Linked DNA regions of Nothobranchius furzeri. The protein of the gene in region 1 purifies or fractionates together with the protein of each later gene. This does not show direct contact. Links are inferred from orthologs where the notes say so. Each region holds a gene or a part of one and is shown in the gene's direction. Other genes may lie near its edges.

What was found. The genes of interacting proteins can lie anywhere in the genome.
Region 2: the proteins of ebna1bp2 (region 1) and bxdc2 purify together in Homo sapiens (affinity purification with mass spectrometry; 4 studies listed by BioGRID and IntAct, counting the BioPlex papers as one, with this or other methods). This does not show direct contact. The link is inferred for Nothobranchius furzeri from reciprocal best matches to the Homo sapiens genes EBNA1BP2 and BRIX1.

What each region holds. Positions count from the first base shown.
Region 1 is NC_091748.1:70,081,389-70,085,427, reverse strand, and holds the start of ebna1bp2 (probable rRNA-processing protein EBP2), read left to right. Parts: upstream 1-1,193; 5' UTR 1,194-1,394; coding exon 1,395-1,490; intron 1,491-1,684; coding exon 1,685-1,768; intron 1,769-2,111; coding exon 2,112-2,284; intron 2,285-4,039. UniProt on the Homo sapiens protein: Required for the processing of the 27S pre-rRNA.
Region 2 is NC_091746.1:58,361,528-58,365,750, reverse strand, and holds the start of bxdc2 (ribosome biogenesis protein BRX1 homolog), read left to right. Parts: upstream 1-1,394; 5' UTR 1,395-1,434; coding exon 1,435-1,584; intron 1,585-2,323; coding exon 2,324-2,435; intron 2,436-2,541; coding exon 2,542-2,585; intron 2,586-2,665; coding exon 2,666-2,736; intron 2,737-2,810; coding exon 2,811-2,860; intron 2,861-2,942; coding exon 2,943-3,016; intron 3,017-3,116; coding exon 3,117-3,167; intron 3,168-4,097; coding exon 4,098-4,199; intron 4,200-4,223. UniProt on the Homo sapiens protein: Required for biogenesis of the 60S ribosomal subunit.

The sequences.
Region 1 (4,039 bases):
CTGAACCTGAACAAAACAAACTATATACTGTTTAATAATAGAAGAAGCTGTGATGTATCTTTAATGATAGATGGAATGGAAATTCAAAGAGTAAAAGAAACCAAATTTCTTGGAGTCATGTTTGATGAGAGTCTCACGTGGAAATCACATGTAGGTTATATAAAGGGGAAAATCGCCAAAGCCATGGGTGTATTACATAGAGTCAAGTTTCTACTAAATTGGTCAGGGTTATTAACATTGTATCACTCACTGATTGAACCATATTTATTTTATTGTTTAGAAATTTGGGGAGTCACTTGCAAAACTTTTACACAACCGTTGTTCATTTTGCAAAAAAGAGCATTGAGAATCATTAATAACTAACTATAGAGATCACACTAATCAATTATTCATTAGATACAAAATACTGAAATTTCCTGACTTGGTAGAGTGGAAAATATTGCAAATAATGTACAGAGCGAATATGAGTAATCTACCAACTAATGCCACATTTCAGAAAATGTTTCATGAGAGAGTAAGTGGGTACATGTTAAAAGGAACTGATGTCTTTAAGAAACCTAGATTCAGAACCAAAGCGAAGGAATGTAACATTTCTGTAAATGGTGTAAGATTGTGGAATGCCATTAACAGGGAATTTAAAGAATCAACTTCACTTGCTATATTTAAAGATGTATAAAATCTAATGTATTTAGCAATTATGAAAAGTTGAACTGTAATGTCAAAGATTAGACATGAAAATATTAGAAAGTGACTGATGTTATATTGTGTTTGTTTGACGGATAATTTTATTTTGTAAAAAGGGGCAGAAATTATAAGACTCTCTTCTATCTGCTCCTTTTTGTTCAAATTTTTTTTCAATATGTTAATGTATGTTGCATTTGTTTGTGTTTATTGTATACATTTTGAATGAAATAAAAGATTAAAAAATAAATAAATACCAGGCACACCAGTGAGAGCAACGAGATCCAATCTCCAGCCAGAAAAGTTTGTTCTAGTTTATCAAAATTAACAAATATAGAATTCTAACGTCAGTTGGAGTTTACTACTGGTAAAAAAATAATAATAAATAACTAAGAAATTATTACATGATATTTATCATCATTAAAATAATGTGTATTATTAGTTGCCGTTATAAAATGTTAGTATTAAAATATTAGTAAAGTAACAATAACAGTTGATGTGTCTCGCCTGCTTTTAAAATTATTTTCAATTAATTTTGTCATGTCGGAACTTCATTTATCTTCATTCTTTGTCTTCTGTCGGACAATTTTCGCGAAAGAGCAAACCCATACGTCACTTCCTCCTCCTGTGAATCGCTCCACACGTGAGCGACTGTTTGTTAACTCGTGTCGTTGTTGCTGTTTTGTGCAGCTTATAAGACAAATTCGGATTTTATGATCATCCCTGGCAGGAGTATGGATTCGGCAGAGGAGGACCCGCAGCTGGGTGAGGAGTCAGAGGAGGAACACATCGAATTATCGGATGGAGAAGTAAGTTTTATGCTAACTTTGACTTAAGCCAGCTGCACTAAAGCACCTGTTTTGAGTTTAGCTAACTGGTCAGGCTCTGTGTTGAAACCATCGACACATATACGGTTGAAACGGGAACAAGAAACAACGATGATGGGAATGACATAATTAAGTCAAGAGTTATTTAAAAATATTTCTGTGGTCTTTGTGTTTAGCTTCAAGAAGCCCTCTCTAAAGGGTTGCTCAAACCTGGGATGAACGTCCTGGTGGATAAAAGCAAGACGTTCGTCAATAATGTGGTGAGTAATTAAGGTCAGAGTAGTCATTATGCTGTTTTTATTATGAAAAAAAAACATACTTGTACTTTTTACTTTGTATATAATAGATAAATCCTGCATTTTGACAAAGAACAGAATAGAAACTCGCTCCCTTTATTGTCTGGGTGGGAAAATGTCACAACTGGAGCAGACAGGATTGTAAAACAGTAAGATTAAAGAGTAAACAATAAGAAAACATACAACGGTATTGCTTAAAATATTAAAAATACGTAGGAATCCAAAGATGTGTTGTAAACAATCTAAATATTTATTTGTTTTCTTTTCTCTCCGTGGCAGTTTGCCTAACACATTTGTTTTCCTTCAGGAGGGATTGAAACTCTGTCTTGCGGAGCTGCATAAAGATCTAGCCTGGGTGGAAAGGTTAGACATGACCAACCCACCTGCTGATGAAGTTCTCACCAACGCTGAAGGGAACGTTTCTGCTGTGTCCAACGGAGAACTCAACGCTGATGATGATTTCCAAAGAGAAATGTTCTTGTAAGTTACAGCTGAGGTGCAGTGAACGTCAGCTGGTGGTCTACAGGCCAGGCCACATCCAGCCCACCAGACTTTTCCACTTGCCCCCCAACTCTTTGGCCCCTAACTTCCTACAATTGGGAGACTTTAAAGTTTAGCAGCAAGTTTTATTTCCCAAATATCAGTAATTGTTTACGTTATTCAAACACGACTGAAACCACAGTAAAACAGTGTTGATGGAAAACAAAACCATTTCAAATATTAATAATTTAAGACACAATAATACTTGAACTTTATTTTAGAAGAGCTTCTGGCCCTCAAGGTGTCTGCTGACCTTGTCCATACGTAGCCATTAAAGACGAATATCTGCCCTCTGAAAAAATAACGTCCACACCGCCTCGTTTGTAGAATTAGTCATGTGTCTACTTCCTAAATGATGAGCGCACCAACGCGGGGTCTTGTTCTATGAGCTAGGTAGTGTTGCTGGACCCACCACTACACGTGACCGCATAAGTGCATTGTTAGGCACATTGATAGGCGTGCCAGACTTGTAGGCGGCAGTCTTCCTGCTCAACTTCAACATAACATGAAACATGGCGCCTATCTCGTTTGTGCAGACCGATAAGGAGGTAGAATGGCTCTTAAATGTAGTTTTATAACTAGTTCAACTACTAGTTAAATGTAGTTTGATAATGCGAGCTCGGCTCTGAGGGCATCCATGTTGTAATGTAAACACAGGTCGCACATGGGCAGTCAGCATTTTTGTCACAGTGATGTGAAACCTAAAACTCCGGTTATTTCTGTCCACACAGAAACCGAGAAAATGCAAATCTTCATTTCAGCTGGAGCTTTTAAAAAGTTTAGTTTTTGATGCATAAATTGGTTTTTCTTGTGGATGACAGGCCAAATTGTAGAAAAATATCTTCGCTTTGGGAGGTGTCCGATAGCGATGGGTACCGAATTCGGTACTTTTTAAGGTACCGACCGAATTCCACAGTACCACCTGAGCACCGATTCACGTCATTTCAAACTGTGCCTCGTTTCGGTACCCGTCCTTCATAACGAGAACTTGCCTAGACAGCTGCGCATGCGCAAGAGTGTTATGTCGTCGGTTGCTGCGAGCCAGTTGTAAACAGAGCAGCATGGTAGAAAGAGCGCACGCTAAAGCTTGGGTCCACTTCACTAAATGTGATGGGTAACAGGGTGATGATGAAACCAGCGACAACGATCTGAGTGAGACATCCTCATCTTAATCTGCTCCAGTAGTTAAATAAAATGTTTAAGATAACGTTAGCTTGATATGTTAGCTTCCGTTTCGCTAATGGTGTGTTCGCTTTCTCCTCGGAACTCCGAATTTCCGACTAGAAGAACATGAACGCGCTCTAAAGTTTGGCTTCACTTTACTAAATGCGACGGGTGAAGATGAAACCAGCGACAACGATCTAAGTGTGAGGCATCATCGTTTTAATCTGCTCCAGCAGCTAAATAAACTGTTTAAGATAACGTTAGCTTGATATGTTAGCTTCCATTGTCACCATTGTTATCAGCTAATGGTGCGTTCGCTTTCTCCTCGTAAATTCTAACTTCCCGGTAGGAAAAATCAAATGAAAAAGGACGGCAAAAGGAATGAAGATGCACAGTAAATTTAGTTCACAGTAAAGATGTTTGCTTCAGTTTAATTATCAGCTTATAAAACTACAAGGACGATGTTAAAATACAAACAGTTGTATGTTATTTATTGTGATATATATCAAATATTGTTATATATTGAGAAAA
Region 2 (4,223 bases), on another chromosome or scaffold:
CGTGATCTTCAGCTCTCACTGGAGCAGGTCACAGCTGAGTGAAGCAGCTGGGATGAGAGTTGGCTCATCTGATCCAAGAACATGGTCTTGAGTCGGAAAAGGGTGGAATGCCTTCTTCGGGTCAGGGATGAGGCCTGCCCCAAGTGGAGAAGTTTAAGTATCTCGGGATCTTGTTCACTAGTGAAGGAAGAATGGAGCACGAGATCAACCTACACCTTTTGGAAAAGTCCAATAAATCAAATCATGCAGCTAGATCAGGATTAGTGTGGCAGCTGTATTTTGTATGGTATGGAGGAAATATACAAAAAATAAACAATCTGCATTTATTTCCACATAGATGATAATGACAGAATGAGAAAGCGGAGGAGTTTAATTATCTTGGGGTCTTGTTCATGAGTGAGGGAAAAATTGAGCGTGAGATCAACTGGCGGATTGCTGTTGCGTCTGCAGTATTGCGGGCATTGTACCAATCTGCTGTGGTGAAGAGAGAGCTGGGCCGGAAGGCAAAGCTCTCGATTTACCGGTCGATCTACTTTCCAACCCTCACCTATGGTAGTGACTGAAAGAATGAGATCGCGGACACAAGCGGCTGAAAGGAGTTTTCTCCGCAGGGTGTCTGGGCTCTCTTTGAGACAGGATGAGAAGCGCAGTCATCCGGGAGGGGCTCAGAGTAGACCTGCTGCTCCTCCACATTGAGAGGAGCCAGTTGAGGTGGCTCGGGCATCTAGTTAGGATGTCTAATGGATGCTGGTGAGGTTTTCTGGGCACGTTCAACCGGGAGAAGACCTAAAGAAAGACCCAGGACACGCTGGAGGGACCATGTCTCATGGCTGGCCAGGGAACGCCTTAGGATTCCCCCAGAGGAGCTGGCCCAAGTGACTGGGAAGAGGGAAGTCTTGGCCTCCATGCTTAGGCTGCTGTCCCTGTGACCCGACCCTGGATAAGCTGGTGAAAATGGATGGATTGTCTCCTGAATCAATTTACAAACATTTATCAGTTCATGAAAAGCAATAAAATAAAATAAGCACTGCCATATTGTGCTGCAGATTGTGGAGTTAACTTTGCACCAGTTGTTTTTGACTGATATTTAATAAAATGAATGCTATTTTTAAAAGAAACGGCATGACATTTCACAAAGAAGAAATGGGATAGCTGAAAAGTAAAAAAAAAAAATACAACAAAAACCATGAAAAATGCATGTACAGCTGCAGGAGTAAATTTTTATGTTTGGGTGTGAGCAAATGATTTCATTAAATCAATACGGTTGGCATTTTTCTATATAACTTCTAATATTTTTCTGACTAATTTACATTTATGCCGTTCACTCTGCTCTGAACGCAATTTCTGTTGCAGTACCGCCTCGGGCCACTGGGAGTTCATCTCTGGGTGAACTTGCTGGACATTGTGTGGTTCTCGCGAGATTTGCATGGAAACATGGCAGCATCCAAAAGAAAACGTGGAGGACAGGGTCCCGTCAACAAGAAGGCTAAAAAGGGTAAATTTGTTGTAGACCAAAGAGAAAGTCAAGCTGAAGCTGAACCAGAGACGAAAAATGAAGTCACAGTCCCAGCACCGGTCTCAATGGTAAGTGTTGGGGTATGTTAGCTTGTTAGCCTGCAGTCTGCTAGTGAACACACGGACCTAAAGGTTCGTTTTTACTCGTTCTAAATTGTTTAACTACATAATTATTTTATACAAAAGTGAGTAAAGGTCAGTAAGGTCTACTAATGCTTCGCTAGCAGTCACATATTTGTGTTTAAAGGTGTTGAGTGTTAATTTAGAATGGACTGTTGATCCCACAATGGGGAAATTCACTTGCTACAGCTGCACAAACTCTTAATAACTCGAAGAAAAATAACAAAGGTGTATGTCTTTACGCATAGGCAGTAAGCTGTTATTGTAACCTTCGACCACTAAAAACTACAATTAAAAATGAAACTTGGGTTCCAGAACTATGCAGCATACTGTAAGGGACACAGTCATGCTATGTAAATCCACACACTGAATATTTTATGTGGAGCTAGGCTTTTCTTAAGTTACCAGTTGTATTAATCTGACATGTCATATTTTGTTTTCCTTTTGTTTTTGATTTCTTTAATTTCCACTCATTTGCTCCAGCCCATGAACACAATAGACAGTCAGACAAATAAGTTATTCAAGTGATTTTCTAATCTTTACCCTTTTGACAAAAGATGAAAAACCCATGAATTCTTCAGTTACTTTTATTGGTATTCAGATATTTAAAAAGCCTCAAGGGTGCCTAACAAGGTGTTTCACTTGGGTATTTATCCAATGCTATGATGTCATCATTACTTGTGAACAGGGCAAATGGACCAACAAGGAAAGAGTTCTAATCTTCTCCTCTAGAGGAATCAACTTCAGAACAAGACACTTGATGCAGGACCTGAGGACCATGATGCCTCATGCGAAAGCAGGTTGGTATGCAAATACGACCTTCTCAGCTCGATCTGCACTGACGACCAGAGTTAACCCTCTCCATGTTGAGCTGAACCCAAGTGACCAGACTATTTTTCTATCTAGATACAAAAATGGACCGGAAGGACAAGTTGTTTGTCATCAATGAGGTGAGTTTGCTTTAGAGTTTAGGACGTTTTGCACCATCGTATATTTTAAAGCAGTGTTTGAGATCAGTGTTGTTTTGCAGGTGTGTGAGATGAAAAACTGCAACAAGTGCCTGTTTTTTGAGGCTAAGAAAAAGCAGGACCTCTACATGTGGTGAGAGTTTGATCCACGCAGATTGTTAGCCTAGAATGCTGTCAGGTAAATGTAATGATGTTCTTTCTCTAAAGGATCTCGAACTGCCCGCACGGACCTTCAGCAAAGTTTTTGGTTCAGAACAGTAAGTTGCTTCTGTCTTATAAGTCTTGGGCACAGGTACCTGCTTTGCAAAGCATCAATAATTTATTCCATCGTCTTTACAGTTCATACACTGGCTGAACTCAAAATGACAGGAAACTGCCTGAAAGGATCCAGACCACTGCTATCGTTTGATCCTGTGAGTATCGAGCATCCTTAAGTGTTAAATGAATTTGCTCGTTTGCTGGATAAATGTTTTAGTCGACGCTCCAGAAGTATGAGTTTTATTTCTCGTGCAGAAATTTGACACGGAGCCCCACTACGCTGTACTTAAAGAGCTCTTCATTCAGGTATGTATTCATAGTGAAAATGGGGGGCTGCACATCATGCAAAATTCATAGCATTTTAAAATATACAAATCAAATCAAACTTTATTTATATAGCACTTTTCATGCATAGGATGCAACACAAAGTGCTTAACAGCTTAAAATGACCCATATAACCCACATTCCCTCCCTTTCCCACACTTAAAACAATTTTCACCCCAAATCCGCAAACCATTCCCAGGCGCGCACACACACATTAAGACACACACGCACACTCTCGTACACATAACACATTAAAAGACCACAGTAAACACTAGGCTGAGCTCAGATTGGACAGGTAATGAAAGACACGCCATCAAGGGAGCCATCTGCCTCGACAGCAGCAGATCGACGGCAGCAGCCAAGACACCAATCCAGGGCGCCCTGGGAGGGAGGGTGGCAACCCCCCACATTTACCTGGGCACTACCCAAGGAGCACCCCCAGCCACTGCCACCGGTCCCAAGGCAGAGGGCTCCACAGAGGAATCACTGGAAGGATTAAAATATGTGACGTAAAATAACAAGAATACAAGCGCAACAACAAGCTAATATGGAAAATATGTAAAATGTATGATGTAAAATATCCAATAAAATGTGATTATACAAATAAAACATAAATGTGTAACACAACAGTAATTAAAATAGGTAAAACAAGCAATGCAATAAATAGTAATCAGTTAAAAGCTAAACTAAAAAGGTGGGTCTTGAGCCTGTTCTTAACAACATGAATGTTCTCTGCAGCCCTGAGATCCTCCGGCAGCCCGTTCCAGAGGCGAGGGCTGTAAAAACTAAAACTAAACCTACCATTTAATGTAAAATTTAGCTAAATTTTGACGTTGCATTATCTGCAGCTTAAGCAAAAAATTAAGGCTGTAAAACATTGACTCGTGCATTCATTAAACTTCCTCCTTCTAGACGTTTTCTACTCCACGTTACCACCCTAGGAGTCAGCCATTTGTGGACCACGTCTTCACCTTCACCATTGTAGACAACAGGATTTGGTTTAGAAACTACCAGGTAACGTTTTACTGGGTCAAGGCT